7 linked regions of the Canis lupus familiaris genome follow. The protein of the gene in region 5 binds, or shares a complex with, the protein of the main gene of each other region. Links are inferred from orthologs where the notes say so. Each region holds a gene or a part of one and is shown on either strand. Other genes may lie near its edges. The genes, in order: MED12, MED25, MED23, CDK8, MED13, MED20 and MED16.

Region 1 (3,599 bases), on a different chromosome or scaffold from region 5:
GAGTCGAGATGTCTTGTCTGCTTTGTCCTCCAGGTCAGTGACCTGTCTTTTCATGACTCTCTGGCTACTTTTGTTGCCATCCTCATCGCTCGGCAATGTCTGCTCCTTGAGGATCTGATTCGCTGTGCTGCCATCCCTTCACTCCTTAATGCCGGTGAACCACCAGTCCGTAACCCTTAGAATTTCTGGATCCCAAGTTTGACTACACACTCCATGGCCACACCCTCACTGTTGAGTGTGGGGCTCCCCGCTATCACCAGAGGCCAGTTGTGTGATGGGCCTCGGGCCCAGAGCGGCCTCTTTCTAACGCTGTGTTGACTGCCCTGATCCTTCCCTGTTGTGACCCTCCTAAGGGACCCCCCCCCATCACACTGCAAGACAGCTGACTGCTCTGTCTCTCCTCCCCCATTATCTTGTTATTTCTCCTTTTGCCTGACTTCGCCTTCCCTTCTAGCCCCTTGCCACCCACAAACCCACGGACAGTCCACTTTTGCCCTGTCCAATTTGCTTTGTTTTCCTTTTTTTTTTTTTTTTGCAGCCTGCAGTGAGCAGGACTCTGAGCCAGGGGCCCGGCTGACCTGCCGCATCCTCCTCCACCTTTTCAAGACGCCTCAACTCAATCCTTGCCAGTCAGATGGAAGTAAGTGACCCTGATCTGGGCCTAGCCAGCAGTAGAAAGTGTGGCTGCTCCCCCCCCCCCCCGCCCCACCCACTGCCTGCACCCCACTGGATCTACTTTTGCTTCTCATGACTTGGGCTCCCTCTCCAGACAAGCCTACAGTAGGAATCCGTTCCTCCTGTGACCGCCACCTGCTGGCTGCCTCCCAGAACCGCATCGTGGATGGAGCTGTGTTTGCTGTTCTCAAGGCAGTATTTGTACTTGGTATGGGGGTAGGAAGGGAGTGGTGCCAGAAGTGTGTGTGGGGTGGAGTGCCAGCTAAACTACAAAGGAAAGTCTTTCTCCCTCCTGAAGGTGGTCTCTCTGACCTTTGGGGAGGAGAGGAGGGAGGGAAGTATATTTCTGTCCCATAGGGCAGGATTTGGGGGAGTTGCTGCTTCTGTGGGTCTGGGGTGGGTCTCTACACCGTGTTCAGATCTCACTCTGCCCTCCCTATCTCCCGCCCGTGAACCACAGGGGATGCGGAACTGAAGGGTTCAGGCTTCACTGTGACAGGAGGAACAGAAGAACTTCCAGAGGAGGAGGGAGGAGGTGGCAGTGGCGGTCGGAGGCAGGGTGGCCGCAACATCTCTGTGGAGACAGCCAGTCTGGATGTCTATGCCAAGTACGTGCTGCGCAGCATCTGCCAACAGGTCAGTCTCACCTTCCCCCCATGCATCCCAAATGCCTTTATATAATAATGTCCTGTTTCCAGCCCTGATCATGCCACCTTCCTACTATACATCACGTCTCTCATCAACCCCCAGCCCATCTCCCCCTTATTCCTTACCCCCACTCACTGTTTGCCCCAGTGCCCTGGTTATCTACTTCCTCAGGAATGGGTAGGAGAGCGTTGCCTTAAATCATTGTGTGAGGATAGCAATGACCTGCAAGACCCAGTGTTGAGTAGTGCCCAGGCCCAGCGCCTCATGCAGCTCATCTGCTACCCACATCGGTTGCTGGACAACGAGGACGGGGAAAACCCCCAGCGGCAGCGCATTAAGCGTATTCTGCAGGTAGGCCAAGGTGGTGAGGGTCTTAGAGGAAGCAGTGGGGCCCAGGCCCTGGGTGAAACAATGGGGACCCTGAGGGAAAAAGAGGGGGTTAGTCAAGTAGGAAGACTGAACAAGGATGTGGGCAAAAGGTGGTCAGAGCAACAGCCCCCATGTGGGTTTTGAAGTCAGGCCAGTGCAGTCCAGACCCTAGAGCCAACTGCTGGATGAGGGCATGGCTATCTGGGACTGTAGCTTATCAGTGAGAGGCGGCACAACATCTGCTAAGCCTTGTTTAAGGCCTTGCTTGTTTGGTGTTTGCTCACAGCTCAGTAACGAACAGCAGTAGTACTTCATAGCTCTTGATTACCAAGTGTCAGCTTCATGCCGAGTATTGTGCTCAGCACTCTATGTCCATCTTCTCATTTAATCTGTCCCAACCCCCAGAAAGTAGGTAGGAGTGGCCAAGTTTGACCAAGGAGGAAACCAAGGCTTGAAGAGTTTATTAAGTAATTAGCCCAAGGTCACACAGCTAGTTTAGAGTCAGGGTGCGAGCCCAGGTGGGCCTGTGCCCCTTCCACTTTGCCATGCTGCTTCAGGCATTCAGGTAACTGAAGGGTGGAGAAATAAAGCTGTTAAAAGAGCTACAGGAATGAGTCTCTTCAGCCCAGAGGAGATAATGTTAAAGAGAGATTAACTCACATTAGCCCTTGGGTCTGTAAAGGACTTTGAACAGCTGGTTTAAAACAGCCTGCAACTTTAACATCAAAGATTTAGGGTAAGTGCTAAGCAGAACTTACCCATGTGGAGGAATGTGAAGCTCTGGAATAGGAGACAGGGGAAAGATGGGAAATCTTTCCAGAACCGTTTTTAAAATAGGCTAGATTTTTCAACGATTTTGGATCATTTTGGTGTAGTCTTTCCTAAAGATGGGGACGTGGAAGTTCCTTTCAGACCTGTAGGCATATGTGTTTCAAGGTTGTGAGAGATCAGGAGGTGGCTTAGTCAGGGTGGGGGGTAAGTGGCTGGAAATGGAGAGGGGGGACAGGATGATGATGAGCTTAGGGGTGGCGTCTCCATCACAGAACTTGGACCAGTGGACCATGCGCCAGTCTTCCTTGGAGCTGCAGCTCATGATCAAGCAGACCCCTAACAATGTGAGTTGGCACCTGGCCCTCTCTGTCCCATGCTCACTTCCAGCTCCATGTGTCAGGGGTGTGGGCTACCATAGAAGAACCTGTGTCCTATGGAACTTCAGGTTCTTGAGCTGAGAAAGAGAGGGTGGGAAGATGGCAAACGCATGGGGCTGATGAGTAGGGGGAAATGGGTCAGGAATGTTGGGGCTCGGTGGTGTGGGGGAAGATTGGCGATGGTGGTGGTGGGAGGCAGTTTCTCTGGTCACAACTGTAAGGAGGCATGTGAGGAGAAGACAGTGGGGGAATTGGAGAAATAGGGAGGCTCTGGAGGGCAGGCTCTCAGCAGAGTTGTGTCTTTCCCTCTCATTACCTTCCAGATGCCTTTCTCCGCCCTCATCTCCCATCTTTCCTGCCGTCTGTTTTCCTTCCTATCACAGTTACCTATTGAGCACCTCTGTGCCTTTCATCCTCCCCAGGAGATGAACTCCCTCTTAGAGAACATCGCCAAGGCCACAATCGAGGTTTTCCAACAGTCAGCAGAGACAGGGTCATCTTCTGGAAGCACCACAAGCAACATGCCCAGCAGCAGCAAAACAAAGCCAGTGCTCAGGTTGGGTAGAAATGCATTCAGACCCCTCCCCTTATGACTTGTTCTCTCATAGTGTAAATGATTTCAGTCTCACAGAGATACTAGGCCTGTCCATTGGGCAGGGAGAGCATGGCTTGTTCTACCCTTGCCTGGCTCCTCTGGAACTCTGTCTACTCCCATCTGTCCTCCAGCTCTCTGGAGCGCTCTGGTGTGTGGCTGGTCGC
Region 2 (4,292 bases), on a different chromosome or scaffold from region 5:
ATCTGCCTTTGACTCAGGTCATGATCTCAGAGTCCTGGGATTGAGCCCAGGTTTCGGCTTCAGGCTCTCTGCTCAGAGGGGAGTCTGCTTCTCCCTCTCCCTCTGCCACACTCTGTCTCCCTCTCAAATAAATAAGTAAAATCTTAAAAAAAAAATTTATATATATATATATAAAATGCATTCTGGGCATTCACTCACATATTCCCTCATTCCACCCAGTTCTCCTTAGACCGCCCTGGTGCCAGACCTTGTGCTTGGCGCTAGGGACTTAGACATCAGACTTGAACTTGGGCATCAGGGAGTCCCGTCTTACCATTATTCATGTCTTAAAACAACCTATCTCGGTACTTCTCATTTGGGGTGGATTTTGTCCTTCCCTACCCCCTGCCTCAGGGGACAGCTGACAATCATCTGTAGACGTTTTTGTTGGTCACAACTTGGAGGTGGCTCTTGGCACCTGGTGGCTAGAGGCCAGGGAGGCTACTGAACATCCTGCCATGTGGACAATCCCCCACAATAATGAATTATTTGGCCCAAAGTGTCAACAGTACTGAGGTTGGGAAATCCTACTCTGTCCTGACTACTAGTTCTAATGGCCATGAGGGGTCAAACTTGGGTGTCAACTTCCCAGTGGGCGTGCAGCACCTAGTCCTGCACACACATAGCCTGGAACAGAGCAGGCACTCAGTTTGCTAAGTAGCAAACTCTTGCCGTACAAACGAATGAAGAGAAGAGCCATCATGAACCAGTGCCGTTTCATGAACTCTAACCACAGACCAGACCTGGGCTAGGCAGTATGAAGGCACCATAGGAAAATTAGTTCCTGTGATCCTCCAGAGAGCATGGACATTTGAACTACCATTATCTATTCACAAACCAAGAAACAGGCATGAAACAACAGTGAACACTAACATAGCACTTAATACATGTCAGGTGCTGTTTTAAGTAGTAGCCAACTAACTCATTCAATTCCCAAAGAATGCCTATGCCTATGAAGTCATGGTAGCTAGCACCCCCCACCCCCAACAATCCCCACCTCCTGTTATTCACACCCTTGAGATTCACCTCCCCTCATGCTCCCTGCACTGAACAGGACTGACTTCTCTACCAAACAGAATGTGGCAGAGACAACGCTGTGTGGCTTCTAAAACTCGATCATAAAAACTCTTGTAGCTTCCTCTTTGCCCTCTCTGTTGTGTTGCTTCGTCTGAAATAAGCCAGCTGCCACGTCAGGAGAACATTCCCCCAGCCACAGAGTGAGCTACCTTGAAAACAAATTGGTCCCTTGCATGACTGCAACCTCATGAGGCCCTGAGCCAGAACTATCCAGCTAGGCCAGTCCTGAATTCCTTACTTACAGAAATGGCATGAGATAATCAACGTTTATTGTTTTGAGCAACTAAGTTTTGGGATAATGTGTTACACAACAAAGAATAAATAACACAATAAATAATTAACACAAGTACTATAATGTTAATCCCCCCCTTTAAAGAGACAGGAGATAGGGACGCCTGGGTAGCTCAGTGGTTGAGCATCTGCCTTTGACTCAGGGCATGATCCTGGGGTCCAGGATCGAGTCCCGCATTGGGCTCCTTGCAGGGAGCCTGCTTCTCCCTCTGCCTATGTCTCTGCATCTCTCTCTGTGTCTCTCATAAATAAATAAATAAAATCTTAAAAAAAATAAATAAAGCGACAAGAGATAAACTACATTAGGCACAAAGGGAGCAGGGACTCTTGGGTCTGGGAGTTTGATGGTTTAGCTGTGATATGACCACAGGCTATCTGTACCCGCGGGAGCCTGCAATGTGAACATTCCAAATCCCATTCAGAGCACAGAGAGATCTATCCTGGCCTAGGCCCCACGCCCCCCTTGCACTCAGGCTTCAAGAGGCCCATGTGAAATAGGAATACTACGGTGGAGATGAGGAACAGCCGACCAAATGCGGAGAACCACACAGTACGAGATCGGAGCTGGAGCTCAACAGGCCTCCCAAACTGAGAAGATTTTTCTACTTCCACATCGGAGGGCAAAAACGCTGAGCACACGGAACCCACCACAGAAGTGACTTATGGACAAAAACAATCCCTCTCAGTCCTTTCAGCCACCCAGTGTGAGCGACGGTTCCTGAAACTCAAGTCAAGCCGCCATCCGTTCATGGTCCCTCACAGGGTCCCCCAACCCACCCCCTAACACAAGAAAATGCTCACTTAATGCCATCGAGCCAGGTGACAAACTCATAGGCGCTGCTGGTGGGAGCGTGACACTGTACGTAGGACTCGGGAGCGCAGTCCACCGTGTTGAACACCACGAGGCTGTACTGGGTACCCCCATACTGGGAGAGGAGGAGGGAGGAACTTTTCATCTGGAACTCCCGTCCAGCTCTTCCGCCCTCCGACTCAGGAGTCCGGTCCTGGACTCCTCCCCACTCAGACTCTGGAGTCCATCCCCGGCCCCCTCCGCCCCTCGGACCCTGGAGTCCGGTCCCCGGGCTCCTCCTTCCTCAGACTCAGGAGTCCGGTCCCCGCCTCCCTCCTTCTACAGACTCAGGAGTCCCAAGACTCACGTCTCCTCCGAAGTCCGTCTCGGCAGGAGGACCACCATTAAAATACCTGCGAGGGTCGGAGGTAAAAGGTCGGGGTCAGGCAAGAGACTGTGGAAAACTAAAGTCGGAGGGCCGGGCTGGAAGTCGGGGAAACGGCACTCACTCGATGGCCGGAAGCAGGTAGTGCTTGCGCAACCCTTCGAAGTAAGGCCCCAGGTTGGCTGTACCCTCGATCACAAACACCACGTCAGCCACGAGGCCCCCGGCGCGGGCCGGGCCCTCCGACCCGGGGACCATGCCCCGCGCAGCAGCCGCCACCGCCGCCACCGCCGCGGCCGCCGCAGCCGCTGTGGAAAGAGCGGAAGTGCGCCTGCGCTGCGCGCCCCCCGGCGCGGGACGTCTTAGCGCCGCGGCTCGGCGCGCCCGCGGCCATGTTTGTGCGGGGCACGCAGGGCGCGCTGGTTCTATCTCCATCCTCGTAGGTACCCGCCGCGTGCAAGATTAAGAGCATAGCGAACCCCTTCAGGGGCCTGACGGGGAAGATTGGGTCATTGTCAGGACTGTGGAGAGTGACATACATGGAGAGAGCCGTAGTCGGCCGCCATCTTTGAGCGAGGCGCCCGCTCCGCCTCTGGTTTCAATGGGAGGGGCCGGAGACCTGGTTGCTATGCAACGCATACGCTGCCCTAGTTTTCTATCGGCGAGATTAGGTTTCTGGTTAATTTTTTTCTGCCGCGGAGAGATGGGGGGAGGGTCGTGTGAAGGGTCCAATCACATCCTCTGAAATGGCGCTACTAGGCAACGCTTGGGGTTGCCGGCCACTCGGAGGGGAGTGCAGCTGTTCTTCCCTCTCAAAGAAGCCCAATTCCAACCCAAGTGGCGGTTGCTAGGCAACACCTGATTGTTGTTTTCTGGGAGAGCGGCCAGAAACTAGCCTAGAACATAAATACATTCCAGGTGGATTAAAAATGTAAATGCAACAAATGAAACCTTAAAAATAGCTGAAGGAAGAAAGGAACACACCGCATAATCCTGAAGACTGGGAAAAGAGTTTATCATCATAGCAAAGCCAGGAAACGTAAAATATTGATCAATTTGTTCAAAAGGCTCCATAAGCCAAGTTGAAAAAAAAATATGATAAACTGGGAAAGTCGTTTGTAACATGTATTGACTGAAATTTTACTACATAAATATAACTTACTCATCAATAAAAACGTAGGAAAAGAGAAATACTTTTTTTTTTTTTTACTGGTATGAAGGCTCTCTCTTCTCCCATACAAAACAATTTAAAATGGCAATTAAACCCCTGAAAATTGCTTATCTTCACCAATTAAAAAGCATTTTGCTTTTGTCGTGCTAATTAATATCGGAAAGAATGATGCCAATGAAGTCGGGGGAGTTTGGGCTCAGACATAGTCTAGAAGGGGCTGTAAATCAGCATAACTTGCCCTCCTGCCGTTTGGTAATGTACTTCAAGATAAAAGGGTGCATTCCTCTTGCATACAGTTATATCACCATTTTGTCACATTTACCTTATCCGTCCCTTTTTGCTTTAATTTTCTTTGCTGAAGTCTTTTATTATTTTTATTCTTTTTAAAGACTTTATTTGAGAGAGACGGATTGAGATAGTGACAGAGATAGCAAGAGAGAGCAGGAGCAGGGAGGAGAGGGAGAAGCAGGCTCCCCACTGAGCAGGGAGACTGACTGACTACACAAGGCCCAATCCCAGGACCCTGGTATCCTGAGCCA
Region 3 (4,393 bases), on a different chromosome or scaffold from region 5:
TACCACTGTGCCTCATACACACTTCTATTGGAATGTATAATGCCGATTTAGAAAGATCTATTTTTTTTCTGGCTCCTCTATTAGAATACAAATTTCTGAAAAACAAGGGTCATCCTTAATTCATAAATTGTTTAACGAATTATTAAAATATGCTGAAAGCATGTTCAACACCAAAGAAGTACAAAACAAACCATAATGAGATAGAATTTCTCATTTTAGATCAGCAAACATCAAAAAAATTTATTAACAACCTACTGTGAGGCCCTAGGGAACAGATACTTTTACACATTCCTAGAGGAGTACAAATTGGTATAACTCTTATGGAAAGCTATCAGGAAATTTCTATAAAAATTTTAAGTAGACATACCCTCTAACCCAGCAATACTACTTCCAGGAATTTATTCAGTGTCCTGTGCACAATATTGTCCATTGTAGTATTGTTTAAAGTGGAGTAGTTAAGAAGTAACCTAAATAACCTAAACTGGAGTAGTTAAGAAAAACCAGGGGACTGGTTAAAGGAAGGTGCAATCATATAATAGATTATGTTGCTGTAAAAAAGAAAGGCAGAAATAACGTTCAATGGATTGACGTGGAATTATTTTCAGATTTTAATAGTAAGAGGAAAAGGGCTAATGAACAGTGAACACATTATGTGAATGTTCTATAAAAGTTGATCCTATATGTGTAAAATACCTCCAGAAGGCAACAAACTGAGAATACCAGCTACTGATACGAAAAAGAGCAGGTGTAAGCTAAGAGAGATGGAAGGCAGACTATTCATTGGGTCCCCTTTTTGGTACTTTTTGCATTTGGAGCCATATGAATAGATTACCTATTCGAAGACAATTAAAACAAGATTTAAGGGACGCCTGGGTGGCTCAGTGGTGGAGCATGTGCCTTTGGCTCAGGGCGTGATCCCAGAGTTCTGGGATGTAGTTCTCCAACGGGCTCCCTGCACGGAGCCTGCTTCTCCCTCTGCCTGTGTCTCTGCCTCCCTCTCTCTCTCTGCGTCTCTCATGAATAAATAAACAAAATCTTATATAAAAAAAACAAAACCCACAAGATTTATGCCTATGTAACCCCATGTTTGGGAAGTAAGTCTTACCACCAGTGGTCAAATATAAACAGTTCTCATTTTCCTACCAATAATGCAGCATCAGAAGATAATACATTCCTGGAACACCAGCTCTTTAAGGATCACACATTTTGTCTTTTTCATGGATACATTTTCTGGTGACTGTTCTTTGTTACTAAGTTCTACTGCTCCTTTCCTCATTTTTCTTAGAAGATCTGTGTATCTTTATTATAGTATCCTTATTGTGGCATCTTTGTTATCTTTACTATGGTATCTTTATTTATTTATTTTTTAAAGATTTTATTTATTTATTCATGAGAAACACACGGGCGGGGGGGGGGGGGGGGGCGGGGGCAGAGACACAGGCAAAGGGAGAAGCAGGCTCCACTCCGGGAGCCGGATGTGGAACTTGATCCTGGGTCCAGGATCACGCCCTGGGCGGAAGGCAGATGCTAAGCCACTGAGCCACCCAGGGATCCCCTTACTATGGTATCTTTAATCATAGCATCTCTGTATCAATGTTTTGCTAGTTCCTTCTGTTGAATAAATGAATGAAATTTGTATCTTTTACAATTGCTACCAGAGCTGTTTCCACATGTACCAAATAAATCAGAGTAGGATGAAGTGTTTTATATAATCTAACATGGGGGAGATTTTTATAGGTGTCTCACAATGTGCCATCATCAGTTTGATTTCTTAATACTGGTTCTCCACTGGAAGAATACAAAATGAAACAAATGGAAACCAGAATACACATATAACAAATGATGACACTAATGTCTCCCTTTCCAAAAGAACCTTAGCAGCAACATCAAAGTAGTGTAAAAAAGGAGGCATCAAAAATCATGACCTGGATGTAGTAAAAAAATGCAGTGCTCACCTGAGAAAGACCACCCCAAAACTGTCTGAAGGCTCCCAGACAGCTAATTAGTTTTGTCTTTTCATCTTCAGGGGTGTCCATGAACATTCTAAAAAGCAAAAATCACAGATTTGCTACTAGTTCTTGAGGGGGAATTAATTCAACATAACCAGAATCTTACAGATCTCGCGTGCCTCCAAGGCAAACCTGAGTCACATCTTCCAAAGACACTCAAGTAAAAACACAAAAATCTGCCATGCATATACGTATACACTCACCCAGGAAAAGCCTCTTCTATAATTTCCGTTTTCTGTAAAAAAAGAAAAATAAGCGGTGTAAAAAAGTAAAAAAAATAAAAATAAAAAAAGGGGGGGACGCCCCTAAGACGACATTACAGTGTAACACAGGACAAGTCACCTTGACCCGCCACACGCACAAAATACCCCCGCCCCCCCCCCCCCCCCCCCCCGGCCGGGCCTGTCACAAAGGGTGCTGGGGATTTCAGTGCAGACTGAATCTGACAGCATGCTGGGACGCGCTAGACCCCTGCAGACGTACGAGAGGCCACAACAGGAGAGGTGGGGGGCGCTGGCCGGGGCGGCTGCTGGGTGCCCCTCCCTCCCCCAGACGCCGCCCCGGCGCCCGGCGGCTCCACTCACCACCACATCCTCAAAAATGCTCTGCAGTTGCGTCTCCATCTGCACCATCGCCCCGGCTCGTCCTGGACGCTGGGCGCGCGGCCCGGTGAGGCCCAAGCTCCGGGAATTGACCGGCCGAGGGGCGGAAGCCCGCAAGAAACTTCAGCTGGCGGGGTAAGCTTTCTTTTCTCTGAAGCGCTCGGCCGAGTGGACCCCCGTCCCCGTCCAGCAAACCGCGGCGCTTGCACGGAAGCTGGGAAGCGTCGGGTGCGTGTGGATTAGCAACCCTGCGGAAACCAGGCCCCCAGCTAGTTGGTTCCGCCGGGGGAGAAGGGCGGCCAGCCGAGCCAGACGAGACTGCCACCAAGTGGAGCCTTGACCCCAAGTCACCCTGAGGCGTCGTCGGCTGCAGGCCGCCACCTCCCGGCTGGAACGGGAGTTCCTTCCTGCTCCAGGCTGATGCTTCTGCCTACTGGCAAGGAAAGAAGCTTGAAGCCCGGGGAATGGCAGCCAGGGAGAAGGGCTCCACCTGCAACCTAGGTCAACCTGTTGTCTGTGAGAGCTGCTGATCTTCTGGAGCCAAGAGTCGAAACCACACTTTTCTTGACGACAGGGACCGTGTCTTCTCAAGTATGGTAACCCCAGTGCCTTGCACAGTGCCTGACACATAGCAAGCTTTTAACATAAAGGTCGGGGGGTAAAAAAAAATGAATGCATTATTACTGAATTTTAATTAGAATAATAAAATAATTATGTCTGCCGTTTTAGTTATAATCATCTAAAATAATATTTATCAATTTCTGAATACCTAGAGCTTCTTTGGTGAGGGTAGAAGTGGAGAAACCTTGGTAGATAGGAAGGCTGATCCATCTGCAGTGTCAGAGCCGTGGCTAAGTGCGCTGTGGGGTGTGCCCCTCCACCGCTGTGTTCTTCCAAGCACTAGTTTGACTCTTTCCTGGATGCCTGCCCTCCTCGCTCAAGCTGATGTAGGGTCTCTTCTTTATCCTCATGTAACACCTTTGTGCATAAGTAGTACAGTACTTCATTTATGAAATATTTGTTCACTCTTTGCTCAGCACTAGCCACAATATTAGGTATACTTAATGAACCATATTGCAGGAATCAATTTTGTAGGATGTCCAAGCTAGAAGGATGACAGGGCCAGAATTATTAAAATCTAAGCAGCGTAACAATCTATTATTCTTTTTTGTATGCTAAACATATTATCTTATTTTGGACTATCTTTAGTCAGGTAGACTTGTAAGAGTTTTCAGTTGGCAGATTTCCATGCTTCCACTCTGTTTCCTCTCTCTCTCTCTCTATATATATATATAGACTCAATATGATTTACATAGCAATTATCCCCAGATTACTCTATAGATTAAATTTAATCCCAATAAAAATTCCAGCATTTTTTGGTCAAATAGACAAGCTGATTCTAAAATTTATATGGAGCACTTGATGGGATGAGCACTGGGTGTTATTCTGTATGTTGGCAAATTGAACACCAATAAAAAGTAAATGTATTATTAAAAAATACATAAATAAAATTTATATGGAAATACAAAGGATTTAGAATAGCCAAAATAAGCTTGAAAAAAAATTGGAGAACTTAAGCTATTCTACTTTGAGACTTGCTAATAAGCTACAGCAATTGAAACAATATGATATTATCATAACAATTGGAACTCTCACACATTTGTAGTATTGGAGTATAAAAATGGTAAACACGGGGAGGCCTGGGTGGCTCAGCGGTTGAGCATCTGCTTTCTGCCCTGGGCATGATCCTGGGAGTCCCACATCAAGCTCCCTGTATGGAGT
Region 4 (3,599 bases), on a different chromosome or scaffold from region 5:
ACCACTAGCCTTTAAATGGCCTTTAGAGGTTTGCCTTCGACTTACTTATACAAATATGTGCTACCTCTCCCCCAAAGATATCACACTGTAAAGTCAACTGAATATATACTTTAAACTCCTCGATGGGGCTTTCTCCTTAATTATTTCCTTGCTCCAATTTCTCTATTTTGTCAATTTCTCAAGCTAGACATTTTTCAAGCTAGATTGAGCAATCTTTTACTTTTCCCTCAATTATATACTTCCTATTAAAAAAAAAGTCCCTATTTGTCCTTTATCTCCATCTCATTTATCACTTTACACCTGGAGTACTGTTATACAGGCAAACAGCTGGCTTCCCTGACTTCAGTTACCTCTCTTTAATCGATTTGTACCTACCATTACCATAGTAATCTAAAATATAACAAACCATGTCACTAGTTCTCAAGAACTTATCATGGATTCTCATTCTTCTGCACATTAAATCTAAACCCTACTGTCTGCTTTTCAAATTTCTTATAAGCTAAGCCTCCCCTAACTGTTGAACTACACATTAAGAATCATCCCTACAGAGGTCACCCCCTCTTCCATCCCCTTGTAAACCATGTTCCTTTCCCCTGGGCCTTAGAAATGGTGGACACATTCAGAAGTGGAAAGAAAAGGTCATTCTTCTCCATCTACTCAAACCATAGCTATTATTTAAACATTTCTATTTAGAGCAGTACAATATAAACTCCAAGAAGGCAAGAATCATGCCTGTTATATCAACATTATTTTATGCATAACACAGTGCCTGGCACATGATGGCAGGTCCTCAAATATTCAGTGAACAAATAAAATTAATCACAATAAAGTAGTCTTCACAGGCCCATTGACCAATTCTGCACAAAGGTAGTATCTGTGTTAACACTCCTATAAGGGAATGTGAAATTATAACTCCCAAGTATTTCTGTATTAGTCTAGAGTTATTCTGACCTGAGAATAATTCCTAATAAGAAACAATTTCTAATAAATACCTGGCTAGCCATTTTCATTATTCTAGACTTCTGGGGAGAGTTTTGGTGACTGATGAACTACCATGCTATGGCATAACAAGGGACGGGGATATAGTTGGAGAGGTCTAACGCCTATGATGAGACACCTAAATAACTTTCTCCCTGCTGCCAATCAGTACAGGCAAGGTTGCTGTTCTAACAGAACACTTAAAAGAATGTTCTTACCAGCAAGGGTTATAGGATAAAAAACTTCTATTATTCAATATAATGTGATTCTGTACAGTGCCCTAAATATAAAAAATGTTAAAAATTTGTATTCAAATCCCAAATATTGGCATTATTATATGTGTTGCCAGACAGAAATACGTACTACTGAATTTTATTTAGTTTCCTTTTGTAAGAATTAAAGGCACCTTTTAATACAGAGATCGTAAATATTTTATCATTTCAAATATTAAACAAAACAAAACAAAAAATAAAATGAAACAAAAATATACTCCTCAAATTCAGAAAACCCATAGATATCTTTATGTTAATATGTGAACTCTATAAATTTTGCTATTCCTAAGGATCTTTGATTAATGCAAGTCATAAATATAAAGAATTGAGTAAGAGTAGCTTCCATCAGCTAAAGATATACACCTTTCCAATGAAGATATCTAGGTTCAAACAACAGTGATTTAAAAACAAAAACAAAAACATAATGTGTACCTGCAGGAAATCCCATTACATTGAATATTCTGTCCAGCTGGTCATGGTGATAAGGATTACTAGTTTTGATGTCCTCTTGTCGACAGTGAAATATTGGTTCTGACGTTAGTAGTTCTGCAAATATACACCCTATAGCCCAAATATCTTTAAAACAAAAAGAAAAAAAAAAAAAAGAAAAGAAAAAAAAGGAAAGGAAAAAAGAAAAAGAAAGGAGGAAAATAAAGTGGTTCTTTCCAAAAGAAAATGCATTTTTATCTTGGTGGGGAGTGTTTTTTCTTTCTTTTCTTTTCCTAATAAGTCATATTAATTTCTAAAGCAATTATAATTAAAATATCATGGAATATTATTTGTAAATATATATTCCCACCCAACCCACCCCAATTTTTCATTCCCTATTACATCTCCATTATACCCAGTGGCTTCATTCCAAGTTCAAATCAAATTTATTAGCTAAATTTTTGGCAATTTTTAAATGCTTCAAACATACCTTATCTATGAAATACACACAAAGTTGCATATGGAGCATAGGAACCACAAACAAACAAAATTAAACAAAAAATAAAACCAAAACAGAAAACCCAAATAGCCTTTGAAATTGCGTATACTTGCCAAAAACAATCAGCACCAATTTTTTAAGGTAGAAATATTTTTCTTTAGTTTATGTACATGCTAATTTGTGAAGTCTAATAATTATCCCCTCATGCTAGCACTAATTAGCAAGGTGTTATTCCAATAGGAGAAAGACAATGCCTCACCTAATCAAACTGCATTTCTACTTGAACAGTTTTTCCTTCAATGTATTTCTTTATGATACGATAGTGTCAGATTTTGCAATTTAATAAGGACAAGAAAACAGGGAACAAAATCCTACCTTAAGACAGGTGGAAAGGGTACAAATTTACTAGACTTACTTATAAAAAGCCAGGCAAATGGATTCCTCTGTAGTGCAACAAACTGCTTTCATTCACTTTAAGATTTAAGCTAATTTTCATTCATATTAAACTTTTACTCAATAGAACTGTTATTAACAGAGGAAAGATCTACATGCCACTTTAGAATTTAAAACTGAAATTACTCAGTTTCTACTTTAACAAAGTCCTAAACCAACAAAGTTAACTTCTCTACACTAAGTACAATGGTGTGCACACAGCAGAGATTCAATGAATGTGAGTGTGTTTTGACTGATCTAACCAAAACCTGTGGTAAATACAAATAACTATAGAGGGAAAAATAAAAACCACTATTTTATTAAAGCCAATTACCCAGGTCTATTAATAACTGTCACATACATAGAAAATGAGAAAAAAATGTTAATTTATAAAATAACTCAGAATTCCTAAACCCTAAAATTGGAATATAGATCTTTAATGTAAAATTATCACATTTCTATTTCATACTAACAAGGCAGTAATCTTTTTAGTAAGATTAAACACCCTGACCACAAGCAAGTGATTTTTAAAAAGGACATTGTGTTTGCATATCAGTTTTCTCCCACATCAGAGAACCAAGTTAGCCAATACCATCATATGGAAAAGTATCAAGAGATACAAGCCAAACTATTTTGTTTTTAGTAACAGAAAAATTATTTTGTGATTATTCTTTTTACATATGTACCCCATATGATAACTTGACTTATGATAATCTTACTTAAAAGGTAAGCTAAGGAGCATCACAAAGAGAGCCTATGGGTCAGTTTGCATGTTTAAAACTCTACTCCTAGCACCCAAAAGGCTCTCAAAACTGAGCCTATGGGTCAGTTTGCATGTTTAAAACTCTACTCCTAGCACCCAAAAGACACCATAACAACACATTCTGGTTAGCTATGAAAAATTCTAAAGAAAACTATGTAAAGGCAGATGAAACGTAAGTGGTGTAGCTATCCTTAAAGCGATATTGCTTCTAAAATAAAAGGTCAGA
Region 5 (3,599 bases):
ATTAAACAACTGAGAATATAGCTTTTATTTTTAAAAGTCACTACTGAGCTAAGTATATAAAAAAGAATACTTTTTATAGAAATTCCAAATAAGCATCTTTCCCTCAAATCTCAGACAAGTTTTTTAAAGTACAGAACAAAACATGCCAACATAATCTGTAGTGTGCTAGCATAATTTAAAAATGAATGCAGAGATGTGATCTTTAAATTTTAATGTCAAAAATGCTGACCATTGGAATTGCATTATAATTTTGAAGAAGTGATTGAAAACCTTTGTCACCAGTTGTGTGTTCTTTATAGAAAAAACAAGACTTGCTAATGTTTAATATACACAATTTGAAGAAGTTATATTGTTCATAAGAAAGTGATATTTAAGCTAAGCATATAGTATTTACAAAACAAGTTTCAGTAAAAACAAAACAAAACATACCGAATTACAGTTTTGTAAATACAACTGATTTTGTCCTTGTGGAGAATTAGTGACTGTACAAATTCGGAATTTTGCTAGACTGCTTCCAAGAAAGATAGGTAGACTTGGTGACTGTGAATTCAAGTCAGCAATATAGGTAGGAGGCTAACTTGGACTCTCTTGTGAGCAGCACTGTAGAAACATTTTAAGGGGGTAAAGCCTGCATAAAAGCATTTTTCTTGGCATGTGCAAACAAGAAGGGGGAAAGCTGTATTGAAGGAAGGGGTGAATTAAAGTCCCTAAAATTCAAGTCCCTTCTTTAGGGAGGTGAGAACCTCCTTGGCATATGCCCTGCCTTAATCTGAGCTGTGTTATAGAAAAGTACAGACTCTGGTGTTTGGGACTGCCATCTCCAAACCAAGAAAATTAAATAAATAAAAAAGGCAAAAGGAAACAGGTTAAGTTTAGAAAATGATTCTTTAACTAGTGGAATAGAGTCTGAATACCAGAATTCACTGAGAATCTATATACACCACAGTCTGATTGCACACACACACCCATACATATGCATACTCTCACACACATTCCCAATCTTTAATTTAAAAAACAACAACAAAAAAGTCAAACAATCAGAGTGACTGTTCTTAAAATAATTTGTAAAATGCCTAGAGCTGGGCTAAATTTCAACCTCATAGCAGATCCTGAAGATAATTTTCATAATTAATAATATTCCCATGCCTAGATGTGCCACTGTCAAAACTGGAAAAAAAAAAAAAAAACATTTAAGCATGTAACATTAAACACCAAAATTAGTTTAAGCATTCAGTAGCAAATGTTTTTCTTGTAAAACTAAGTTTCTTTCACTGGAAATGGCCTGAAATATTAGTCATAGCCCTAAACCATAGTACAAAATATAACTGAAGAATTCTCATTTTATTCTAAGTTAAACCACCCAACAATATCACTTGTATATTGCCATCATGTTATTCTGTAAAGGTGTGATATATAAAATGCTGTAAGACCCGGTACCTTTTCAATTTATAAACACAGTGAACTTCATTACTGTACATGTACTCTGCAACTACAGCTTAGCTGTAAATCCTCCACACACAATGGTATGGACATTATTCCCCCTCTATCCCCATTAAACTGTACATTGAGACAATACAAATTTACTGTCCCACCCACCCCCTTACAAAAAAATAATACTCTAAAAGCAACCCTACTGCAACTTTTTAATTAAGACGATTACATATATTTTAGACCAATTGCTTTAAAGCAAGAAGGCAGTATAAACCTTCTAGGAAAATTTTTATAAAAGAGGTTAAGAAATATAAGACAATTTATACATTTAAAAACTTACAATAAATAAGAGATGCAGGCATTTTTGAATACTAGATACTATAATCCAATACAAGAACATCTTGATGTTCTGAAGCCATATGTTGAAATTCATTGTTCCTCATGTTTCCTCTCCATGCTTTTAATATTCATTTAACATGACTGGGTACTATGGCTCATTACTTTTCACAAATACTGTGACTGGAAAAAAAAGGTTAATTTTGCTACGAAAATGTTATAATACGTTTTGTATGATCAGTCATCATCCTAAAGAGTTCAGTATAGTCAATGAAAAATATCAGGGTTATAGCCCCTCCCCCCAAGTCAAAACAATATTTGTTGAAGTAATAAGTATTAGACCCCATCACAGATGACTTTCACTGAGAAGATAACTCAATCTTGCAGCGAAATATCTTTTTTCCTTGTTCTTTTCTTGCACAGTTCTGTCGAATGAAGATCACAGCATATTCATGATAAAGTTATATAACTGATTCAGCACCACAAAATGAATTGGGAGACATGAGCGTCTGTCCTGGATTGCAGGGTCACAGGTTAGCCAGGAGAGTGCATTGTACTGTTCCAAAACAAACCTGAAAAGTAGAAGTCATGTATTTACTTTCACTGTAGATTATGGAAGCAGTTCCCAATGATGGCATCTAAGATTCAAAGTCACTTAAAAAAAATGGTGGAAAGTATGGAATAGAGTCCTTGGGGAGATTAAAGACTAATTTTCATAAAAAGTACTTTCAAAAGTAGATTACACATGCTAGAAAGGACTCATTCTAAATGACCTAATTCATCTAGAGATCCAAGGGTACACAACTGTAAATTACTGCCAAATGTGAGAATACAAAAGGATCAGTACATTCTTTCTTTTAAAAAAAACCAAAACGTCTTTTCTCTTTTATTTATTCATGAGAGACACAAAGAGAGAGGCAGAGATACAGGCAGAGAGAGAAGCAGGCTTCATGCAGGGAGCCTGATGTGGGACTCGATCCTGGGACTCCAGGATCATGCCCTGGGCCAAAGGCAGATGCTCAACCGCCGAGCCACCCAGGCATCCCCATTCTTTCTTTTTTTAAAAAAATTATTTATGAGAGAGAGAGAGAGAGAGAGAGAACACAAGCAGGGAGGAGGGGCAGAGGGAGAAGGAGAAGCACACCTCTTGGTGAATAGGGAGCCTGACATGGGTCTTGATCCCAGGGCGCCAGGATCATGACCTGAGCCATAGGCAGACGCTTAACCATCTGAGCCACCCAGTGCCCTAATATTATATTCTTTCAAAGATACAATGAAGAACCTTTAGTGGTAAAAAGATTTATACCTGAGGACATCTGAAGTCTGATTTGAGTCAAGTGGGTGGGAGTGTTTACTGTGAAGCAGCTCGTCAGATTGCACTGAAGGCACGTGGAGGTGCAAAGAGGCCTAAAAAAACAGGTAATCAGTCAGCCAAATGGAAAAGTTGTTGGTTTTACCTTATTTTCCCACGGTCTCGTCCTTGATGAAATACATTTTAGACCTATGTGATGAATGGGCACCACTATAAAGATGCTTCTTGTTCTTGCTTACAGAAGTAATTTTCAAGTGCATAGCTTATATTCAATCTTACTTTATTTTCTTTAGCTCTATTTTTAAGATCACATAATAATCCTAAAAGAATTTACATAAAAGTCATTTAAAGTTATCTACTTTTTCAGTGTAACATGCCTAGATGTGTCAATGTTTAAGGAAGCACTAAGCTGATAAACCTCAAGAGTCTGTCTACAGGTTACACAACTTTAGACTATGCACATCCACATAGGTCTAGCACTGAAAAATGTAACAGGAGTAAGCATATGCAAATATAATGC
Region 6 (4,384 bases), on a different chromosome or scaffold from region 5:
CTCTCCCTCTTTATAGCACCTAAACAATATCGTTCATTCTGCTTAGAGCTCTCTCTCCACTAGTTTTCAGCACCAAAGTCATGTAACCTAGGAACCCTGACCCCCAAAACTAATGCTCTTGTTTTAAGATGAAACTATACTTAAAAAAAAAAAAAAAGATTTTCATTTATTTATTTACAAGAAACACACAGAGAGAGGCAGAGGCATAGGCAGAGGGAGAAGCAGGCTCCCCGCTGGGATCCCGACGCGGGACTCCATCCCAGGACCCCGCGATCCTGCCCAGAGCCCAAGGCAGATGCTCAACCACTGAGACACCCAGGTGTCCCAAAACTATACTTTCATCATGAAATGTATTATTCGAATCGTCAATTTAATTGTCTCTCAGGTTAGACTGTAAGATCTTGAAGTCAGGGTCATGGCTATCTTGCTTCCTTTTTTACTCAAAACCATCTAAACTCCTACCTAGCACAGTGCAAAGTACGGACTAGACAACCTACAAGAATGTACAGAACAGATGGATAAACGTTAGGAGTGCTCAATAGTGTGACCAATTAACTTCTTGTTGGTCTAACTTAGAGACTGCCTAGACGCAAGCATCTAAAGCAACAAGTGGGCATAGAGAGCTCTGACCACCCTGAATCTATTCCAGGGCTGGGTCTCCCATTTCATCACCTTTGCAAGGGTGTGATGCGGACTCCTTATTCAATTTCACTTTTTTTATTCCAAAGGATTCCCCTGGCAGAACCTTTTGGCCGTCTATCTACTTCCCCCTCCCTCCAAAACTAACCACCCTCTTCCTGGCACCCCCCTCCCCCACTTACCCAGACGCGTGGTGCGCTCGCGCGGGGCTGCGGCCTTGTTCCCAGTCCCATGCTCGGTCTCGAGTTCCTCCTGTTGCTGCCGCGCTTGCTGCAAAATCCGTCGGGTCAGCCGGGGCCCCACATACTCTTCGTCCTCCTCTCTGGTCCCACGACCCCGCCGCTTCTCCCGGGGCCCTGCCCGCGCCGCGTCCCCAGCCAGGATTTGCTCAGCCAGCGGCGCATGTTTTTCCTGGCCTGCAGCTCCGCGAGCCGGCTTGAATTTGGGCATTTTTTTCCAGAACTCTGCCAGAAAGGTTTACACGTGGGGTACAGACGAGGAAAAAAAAAAAAAAAAGCCTTGAGCGCACTTGCGCCGTGAAGTCCCAGCTCCCAAGAGGCCCCCGCGGAGCTCACAGCGCCTCCCGGCGTCCGGAGGCCGGGAAGGCCATCAGCGCCGCCACACCCCGTAAGAGCGGGGCCTGGAGCCAGCCGGTCCCCGAATGAACTCACTGCTTCTAACGCTGGCTTCTGCAAGTGGTGGCAGTCCGAGCGGTGGTTTTCTACTTTCATAGATCGAGGACCTCTGTTCCCAGCCAAACGTGGACTTGCCTAGCTGCAAAGCCGGGGCCAGAGTTGGGTAGTGACGTCACTGGAGGCGTCACCGAGGAGATGCCTAGACCTGCCCCTGTTCCTCGTGGGCGCGTCGACTGGACGCTCTCCTTTTGCGTCATTTCCGGAGCACCTCCCTCGGCCGAAGCTTTCGTTAGGGGTCTTCACTTAGTGTGGGCGGCCAGAGACTACTGTGATCCGATTGTTTGTTCCTGCCATCCTCCTGGCCCGATACCATGGGAGTGACTTGGTAGGCCCGCAGGGGACTTTTTTGGGCGGCGCTCGGGGTCGGGAAGGGCCCCGGAGCCCGGAGTGTACCGGGAGGAGGGCCGGGACCAGGGACCGCGGTCCCCCATGAGCTGATGAAGATAAGATATCTTCGGAACGTGTGGGTGATGGAGACGCTGCGAGGGCTGCAGATTCTCCGCGCTTGTTTGCTCGGAGACACTTCCCTTCGTCCTGAAAGGCGGCAGGTGAAAGGTTTTGTCCCAGGAGCCCATCAGTGGTTGTGTTCCTCCTTCCCAGGAGGCCATAGGGCTGCCCGAGGTGGAAATTAAGGATGCCCGAACTAGGACCCAATCTACAGGCGTAGCTAGAGGAGGTAAAGGATAGGCAACGAGGAAACCGTCTTTTTTTAAAGATTTTCTCCTGCCCCTCCCTACAGCCACTTAATGCAGTTAGACCGGCCCGTGTCTGGTTCTGGTGCGGCCGTCTTAAGATTTTCGGTCTAGAGGGAAAAAAAAAAAAAAAATAAGCAGCAGCAGCTGTTGGGAGGTAGATTGGGGTTTAGGCACGTCACCTCTTCAGAATTCGTTTCCTACTATGTTTAATTGTATGGTTGGTGTAACTAATTACTATGGACTTTTAATCTCTCAACATGATATAAGTGGGGTGGCAGAGAAAGGTATGGGCCTAATGCTCTTGGAGAAAATGCTAGATTTTAGGGATTGTTTTGTTTTGAGTACCGGTAAGTATTAGCACGTTTCTAGTTAGGGCTGGAGCCTGTGGGAACCACTCTTTTTTTAAAAAAAAATTTTAATTTATTTATGATAGTCACACACACACACAGAGAGAGAGAGAGAGAGAGAGGCAGAGAGAGGCAGAGAGACATAGGCAGAGGGAGAAGCAGGCTCCATGCGGGGAGCCCGACGTGGGATTCGATCCTGGGTCTCCAGGATTGCACCCTGGGCCAAAGGCAGGCGCTAAACTGCTGCACCACCCAGGGATCCCTGGAGCTAGTCTTTCTGATAGCTCAGGTTCTTGTAGGCTTGTCGGTTACTGCACCTGTGTTTTCTGCAATGGATATTTTAAGCCTTTTCTAAGTTTTCTAGTGTAAGGGAGTGTATGAGGGTTGGAAGGAAAAGCTTGCAGCATAGAGGCTTGGAACCTGAAAGCCCCTGTTCTTTCAGCAGAAGACAGAAAGATGGAATGGGCCCTCAGTCTGTTGGGACCCTTAGCAAGTATATCACACTCCTGGTATTTCGGACCCGTGTAACGTCAGTTTAGATATTCTCTTATGTTTGTCAGTAAAGGCACGTTATCCATTGCTTCTGAGTTCATCTTCTGATGGAGAGTAGGGACAATTTTTAGCAACAGCAGTAGTCCCTCCTTTCCTCCCTCCCTCTGTGGTTGATTGATCATAAAGTAATGTCTTTGAGAATTCAGTAATATGTATGGTTTTTGTTTAGTTAAGTGTACCACCTGAAGTATTTATGAATTTTTTTTTTTTTGAATCTGTTTAGTTTTCTTAGAAGCATTTTAACCGGCAACTACTTGTTTAGGGAAGCAATCTAGTATAGTGAATAAGAACACAGACATGGAACCAGCATGCCTGGCTTTGAATCTTGGCTATACCACACCAAGCTATGTGACTTTGTGCAAGTTACTCAACCTCTTTGTTCTTCAGTTTCCTTACTTATTACAAGGAGATAAATAATAGTCATCTTCTAGGGCCGTTGTGAGGATCCAAATAGTTTATTTGTCTAAAGGCCTTTTGGACACTGCCTGGCACGTGGTTGGTGCTTAATGATTGTTACCTACTACTATTTTTTTTTTTTAAGATTTTATTTATTCATGAGAGACAGAGAAAGAGAGAGAGAGAGAGAGAGAGGCAGAGACACAGAGGGAGAAGCAGGCTCCATGTAGGGAGCCCGACTCGGGACTCGATCCCAGGTGTCCGGATCAGGTCTCGGGTTGAAGGCAGTGCTAAACTGCCGAGCCACCCGGGCTGCCCGTTACCTACTACTCTTAAGGGGAGGTCGGTTTCACTTACCATAGAAGGAATCTTGGAAATAACATTTTTATCTCATTGTTTTGATTTTATTTTTGTACATATCGTTGCCTCTGACTCCTAAAGATTACAGACTTGAGGCTTGCTTTCTCTTTGATCCTAGGGCTGTTGAATAGAATTTTCCATATTGGCGGAAATGTTCCATAACATCACTGTCCAATATACTAGCCTCTGGTCACATGTGGCTATTGAGCCTTTGAAATGGGGTAGTGCAGCTGAGCAGTTGAAGTTTTAATTTAACTTGTTTTATTAGTTTAAGTGTAAATAGCCACATGTGGTTTGTGGCTACTGTACTGGACAACACACCTTCAAAATGTTAGAGAATTGGTAAAAACATACTAACCTCAAACAGATTTTCCTAATTTAGGCAGAACTGAAGGAATTGCAAAGGACATCAGTGTTATGGATTACTCTGTGTGCCACCTAAAACTGCTTGAATGTTGGCACACGTGTCCTGGTTGGAAAATGCTGCTGTGATAGGAAGTTCACTAAGTTGGTAGGAGTGTCCTGAGACCTGTGTTCTAGTTCTTAGTGGAGCTGTTAGGAACTGTGAGCCTCTTATTTCCTCATCTTTAAAATGAGAGAGACGTTCAGGATACATGGTCTCTAAGATAACTCCTGGCCCTGAGGAGCTGTGATTCTGTGTGTGAATGATTGGCTCAATGAGTGTGCATATGCCTCTGAA
Region 7 (3,599 bases), on a different chromosome or scaffold from region 5:
AGCTAGGGGGGCTTTGGCAGCAAACGGACCCCTTGCTCCCTCTCCCCCCACAGTCAGGGGCCTCCAGCTTTGGTGAGAAATTTTCCCGCGTCAAATTCTCGCCATCCCTCACGCTGTTTGGCGGCAAGCCTATGGAGGGCTGGATCGCCGTGACCGTCAGCGGCCTGGTCACCGTGTCCCTGCTCAAGCCCAGCGGGCAGGTGCTAACGTCAACGGAGAGTCTGTGCCGGCTGCGCGGCCGTGTGGCCCTGGCTGACATCGCCTTCACGGGTGGTGGCAACATCGTGGTGGCCACTGCGGACGGCAGCAGCGCCTCCCCCGTGCAGTTCTACAAGGTGTGCGTGAGCGTGGTCAGCGAGAAGTGCCGCATCGACACCGAGATCCTCCCGTCGCTCTTCATGCGCTGCACCACGGACCTCAACCGCAAGGACAAGTTCCCCGCCATCACCCACCTCAAGTTCCTGGCCCGCGACATGTCGGAGCAGGTGCGCCCTACTGGGGGGCGCTCCCCCGGCTGCAGCAGCTCCACACGCTTGTCATCTTGAGTTGGGTCAGGAGTCTGATGCAGGCCTCATGATGCTAAAACCCAGGCGTGGACGGGGCCGGTCACCCCTCGTCTTCCCCGAGGCCCCAGGGAGACCCCCTCCTGCCCTCCACCTTCCAGGGGTGCCCCCTTCCCAGCCTGCAGCCCCTCCTCCGTCCTCACCACCAGCAGTGCAGGGTCTGCCCATCTCTGGGGCTTCCCCCCCTCCTCCCTTTCGGGGGGACCTGGTGAAGATGCTGGGCCCCAAGGCCTACGGGGTCCCGGGACTTAGGGACATCTTTGGGGTCATTTTTGGTGGTCACCCAGGACTCCAGCATAACCACGTGTCAGTAAGGCCCCCAACTTCATGGAGCCCTGGTAGTTTCCTCAGCTCCCACTGCGATCCGCGGGTGACGTCTCCATTCCAGCTCCGCCGTCCCCTGCACCCCAGGTGCTCCTGTGTGCGTCCAGCCAGACAAGCAGCATCGTGGAGTGTTGGTCCTTGCGGAAGGAGGGGCTGCCTGTGAACAACGTGTTCCAGCAGATCTCACCCGTGGGTGAGTCTCCCCGTTCCCGGGGGCGCTGGGCTTCCAGAGCAGGAGCTGTCCCGAGTAGCTGCACAACGTCGGTCCCCCTCCTCGTACGTGCTCTGCGGCCGCTTGTCCCGTCCCGGAGAGCCTGTGGTCCTGAGGCTCAGAGACGCGAGTGCTGCCCGCCGTCCCACAGGAGAGTGGCCTGCCTCACCCTGACCCTCCTGGGGGAGCATGTGGCTGCTTGAGAGAACAGCAGTGCAGAGGTCCTGGGGCAGAGGCCAGGAGCCAGTGCGGCCCAGCCCGGCGGGGGCAGGGCACAAACCGGCATCGCAGCAGGGCTGGGGGTACACGCGGCCCCCTGGCTGCAGGGGGTGCTCAACCCTAAAAACCAGAGAGTCCTCCACAAACTCTGGTTTATGGTCAGGGCCCGACTGAGCGTGTCTTCAGCTCATGCATGGGCTCGCCTCCCCCTCCCCTGTCCCGCATCCGTGTGAAACCCCCCGCTCTAGACACCGACCCCCCCATGGCCCCCGGGACGTGCTGGCCCAGCCTGACCGCTCATGAAGCCCCTGGACGCCCCCAACCCCAGAGCTGAGAGCGGATGAAGCCTCCCGTGGGTGGGAGCCCGGCTCTGTGCCGATGGGCCTAGTGGGCCGTGCAGGAGGGGGCGACCGCCGAGGAAGCTGTCGAGGCCCCGCGGCTCCTGTCCCCTGCCGTGCGGGGCAACTAATGAGCGTGAAGAGGTTCCCGGCTCCCCTCCCACAGAGCCCCCTCCTCCGTGAGCTTGGTGGTGGCGCGTGACTGCTGTGGTGGGCAGGGCCATGGGGTGCAGCCCCCGCCCCCAGCACACAGGGCACCCGGCCCCAGGGCCAGCCTGGCCACATAGCGTTGGTGCCACATGGAGGTGCAAGTGGCTCTGGGTGGCCTGGCCCACTCGTGCTCCCTGGACATCGCTGTGGCTACCGTTAAGCTCTAGCCTCCAGGTGGGACAGAGTCACGCTCTGTGGCCTGAGGCATCTCGGTGCTCTCTGACCTCAGTTTCCCCTGGGGGACAGCGCTTGCCGGGACTCCCTCCCTGGGCTGGCAGAGGGTTATAGTGGTGACATGCCGTCAGGGCCCAGCTCTCGAGGTGGAGGGGTCGGGGAGCTGTGATGGTCAGCTGTCCCCAAGCGACAAGCCTGCCCGACTCTGGCTCGGAACCGCAGCTCCAGGCTGTCCTGGGAGGGGCTGCCTCACTGCCGGGCGGCTGGCCTGCCTGCTGTCAGCTGCCGGGCGCCTCGTCGCCCCCCACCACGCAAGTGTCCGTGGGCTTGCCCGGGCGCATCCCAGCGCGTGTGCACCGTGAGTCTGCTCATGTCACATTTGCCCACAGCCACTGGCCACGCCTGGGTTCATGGAAACCACTCCAGCAGTTGGAGGGGGTCCTCGCCATGAGGACCACATGTGGTGCCAGGCATCCACGTGTGGCCCCAGCCTTACCAGGCTGGCAGGGTCTGGGGGTGCCGCCCTCGTCGGGGCCCCGGGTCCAGTGGGGGCACGGCAGCCTCGCCCCCCGGGCAGGGGTGCACCCCACTGGGGTCTCATCCTGCTCTGTTTCTTGTCTGCCCCCCGTTTTCAGTTGGCGACAAACAGCCCATGATTCTGAAGTGGCGGATCCTGTCCGCCACCAACGACCTGGACCGCGTGTCTGCCGTGGCGCTGCCTAAGCTGCCCATCTCGCTCACCAACACTGACCTGAAGGTGGCCAGCGACACCCAGTTCTACCCCGGCCTCGGTACGGCCGCCCGGGACGCCCCCTCTCCCCCGGGCAGCCCCTCCCTGCCGTCAGGGCTGGGCAGGCACCCGAGCTGCTGCCGGCGCCCCCGGCCCTCCGCACGCCTGAGCCGCACGCATCCCGCCCGCAGGGCTGGCCCTGGCCTTTCACGACGGCAGCGTCCACATCGTGCACCGGCTGTCGCTGCAGAGCATGGCTGTCTTCTACAGCTCAGCGGCCCCACGCGCCGCGGACGAGCCGGCCATCAAGCGCCCACGGACCGCCGGCCCCGCCGTCCACTTCAAGGCCATGCAGCTCTCCTGGACCTCTCTGGCCCTGGTCGGCATCGACAACCACGGGAAGGTAAGCTCAGAAGCCACCTGCCTGGGCGGGTCCTGCTGCTTGCGGCCCGAGGCTCCTCACCTCTGCCCCCCGGGGTCACACAGGACAGCTCTGGCCTGTCATGTGCACGTAGCAGGTGCTCAGTACGCAGGAGCCGTGAGGACGGGGGCTCTCCACCACGTCCACTTGCTAGAATTGAACAGGTGCCGCACGTGAGCCTTCTGCGGGTGCGCGGTGCGCGTCCTTGCTGCCGCCGGACCCTGGCCTGGGCCCTGCCGACCGGCGAGCTGGGCACGCTCCCCCCCTCATCCCCGTGCGGCCCGGCCCCCGCCTCCCACACGGACTCTGGACCAACTCGGCTCTGAGTCGCTTTTCTTCGAGACCCGTACCTGCCTCTGGGTCCCGTCTGCCCCGTCCTGGGCGTGTCCCCATGGTGTCCTAGTGTCCA

The links.
Region 1: the proteins of MED13 (region 5) and MED12 are in contact, whole or in part, in a cryo-EM structure (PDB 8TQC), measured with the Homo sapiens proteins. The link is inferred for Canis lupus familiaris from reciprocal best matches to the Homo sapiens genes MED13 and MED12. Residues at the interface, in NP_005112.2 of Homo sapiens: Ser157, Glu158, Thr336, Val337, Pro339, Gln340, Ser341, Gln343, Lys344, Trp345, Lys347, Phe348, Asp1186, Ile1189, Leu1190, Gln1193, Asp1194, Pro1332, Ile1333, Thr1335, Leu1337, Tyr1340, Asp1341, Tyr1342, Asp1343, Tyr1344, Leu1345, Val1346, Leu1347, Ser1348; in NP_005111.2 of Homo sapiens: Ala3, Phe4, Arg12, Pro13, Arg16, Leu86, Thr123, Thr127, Thr150, Pro152, Val153, Met154, Arg155, Phe242, Pro278, Leu281, Arg282, Arg356, Pro357, Phe360, Gly361, Cys364, Gln367, Thr368, Cys372, Pro407, Glu408, Phe413, Val417, Lys1526.
Region 2: MED13 (region 5) and MED25 share a complex: the UniProt entries of both Homo sapiens proteins name them as parts of the mediator complex. The link is inferred for Canis lupus familiaris from reciprocal best matches to the Homo sapiens genes MED13 and MED25.
Region 3: MED13 (region 5) and MED23 share a complex: the UniProt entries of both Homo sapiens proteins name them as parts of the mediator complex. The link is inferred for Canis lupus familiaris from reciprocal best matches to the Homo sapiens genes MED13 and MED23.
Region 4: the proteins of MED13 (region 5) and CDK8 are in contact, whole or in part, in a cryo-EM structure (PDB 8TQC), measured with the Homo sapiens proteins. The link is inferred for Canis lupus familiaris from reciprocal best matches to the Homo sapiens genes MED13 and CDK8. Residues at the interface, in NP_005112.2 of Homo sapiens: Thr1616, Met1617, Asp1618, Arg1619, Lys1621, Val1622, Gly1623, Ile1624, Pro1625, Thr1626, Asp1627, Gly1628, Asp1629, Ser1630, Val1732, Lys1733, Thr1734, Leu1735, Thr1736, Gly1737, Phe1738; in NP_001251.1 of Homo sapiens: Leu9, Glu12, Arg13, Arg71, Lys74, His75, Pro76, Leu81, Gln82, Lys83, Val84, Tyr133, Asp137, His140, Tyr141, Met330, Gln331, Phe335, Leu336, Leu340, Pro341, Thr342, Ser343, Asp344.
Region 6: MED13 (region 5) and MED20 share a complex: the UniProt entries of both Homo sapiens proteins name them as parts of the mediator complex. The link is inferred for Canis lupus familiaris from reciprocal best matches to the Homo sapiens genes MED13 and MED20.
Region 7: MED13 (region 5) and MED16 share a complex: the UniProt entries of both Homo sapiens proteins name them as parts of the mediator complex. The link is inferred for Canis lupus familiaris from reciprocal best matches to the Homo sapiens genes MED13 and MED16.

What each region holds. Positions count from the first base shown.
Region 1 is NC_049260.1:55,693,325-55,696,923, forward strand, and holds part of MED12 (mediator of RNA polymerase II transcription subunit 12), read left to right. Parts: intron 1-33; coding exon 34-154; intron 155-538; coding exon 539-640; intron 641-769; coding exon 770-883; intron 884-1,135; coding exon 1,136-1,311; intron 1,312-1,494; coding exon 1,495-1,674; intron 1,675-2,735; coding exon 2,736-2,807; intron 2,808-3,262; coding exon 3,263-3,396; intron 3,397-3,566; coding exon 3,567-3,599. UniProt on the Homo sapiens protein: Component of the Mediator complex, a coactivator involved in the regulated transcription of nearly all RNA polymerase II-dependent genes.
Region 2 is NC_049222.1:107,412,671-107,416,962, forward strand, and holds the start of MED25 (mediator of RNA polymerase II transcription subunit 25), read right to left. Parts: upstream 2,898-4,292; 5' UTR 2,841-2,897; coding exon 2,707-2,840; intron 2,611-2,706; coding exon 2,565-2,610; intron 2,334-2,564; coding exon 2,209-2,333; intron 1-2,208. UniProt on the Homo sapiens protein: Component of the Mediator complex, a coactivator involved in the regulated transcription of nearly all RNA polymerase II-dependent genes.
Region 3 is NC_049233.1:336,024-340,416, reverse strand, and holds the start of MED23 (mediator of RNA polymerase II transcription subunit 23), read right to left. Parts: upstream 2,854-4,393; 5' UTR 2,747-2,853; coding exon of another isoform or gene 2,642-2,746; coding exon 2,594-2,641; coding exon of another isoform or gene 2,460-2,593; exon of another isoform or gene 2,457-2,459; intron 2,245-2,456; coding exon 2,213-2,244; intron 2,044-2,212; coding exon 1,956-2,043; intron 1-1,955. Other genes in the region: ENPP3 (ectonucleotide pyrophosphatase/phosphodiesterase family member 3), read left to right, coding at 2,460-2,746. UniProt on the Homo sapiens protein: Required for transcriptional activation subsequent to the assembly of the pre-initiation complex. Component of the Mediator complex, a coactivator involved in the regulated transcription of nearly all RNA polymerase II-dependent genes.
Region 4 is NC_049246.1:13,130,776-13,134,374, forward strand, and holds part of CDK8 (cyclin-dependent kinase 8), read right to left. Parts: intron 1,827-3,599; coding exon 1,683-1,826; intron 1-1,682.
Region 5 is NC_049230.1:34,701,895-34,705,493, reverse strand, and holds part of MED13 (mediator of RNA polymerase II transcription subunit 13), read right to left. Parts: intron 3,175-3,599; coding exon 3,074-3,174; intron 2,340-3,073; coding exon 2,207-2,339; 3' UTR 1-2,206. UniProt on the Homo sapiens protein: Component of the Mediator complex, a coactivator involved in the regulated transcription of nearly all RNA polymerase II-dependent genes.
Region 6 is NC_049233.1:10,766,592-10,770,975, reverse strand, and holds the start of MED20 (mediator of RNA polymerase II transcription subunit 20), read left to right. Parts: upstream 1-1,506; 5' UTR 1,507-1,645; coding exon 1,646-1,659; intron 1,660-4,384. Other genes in the region: BYSL (bystin), read right to left, coding at 822-1,089. UniProt on the Homo sapiens protein: Component of the Mediator complex, a coactivator involved in the regulated transcription of nearly all RNA polymerase II-dependent genes.
Region 7 is NC_049241.1:58,254,221-58,257,819, forward strand, and holds part of MED16 (mediator of RNA polymerase II transcription subunit 16), read left to right. Parts: intron 1-53; coding exon 54-485; intron 486-974; coding exon 975-1,080; intron 1,081-2,674; coding exon 2,675-2,830; intron 2,831-2,960; coding exon 2,961-3,172; intron 3,173-3,599. UniProt on the Homo sapiens protein: Component of the Mediator complex, a coactivator involved in the regulated transcription of nearly all RNA polymerase II-dependent genes.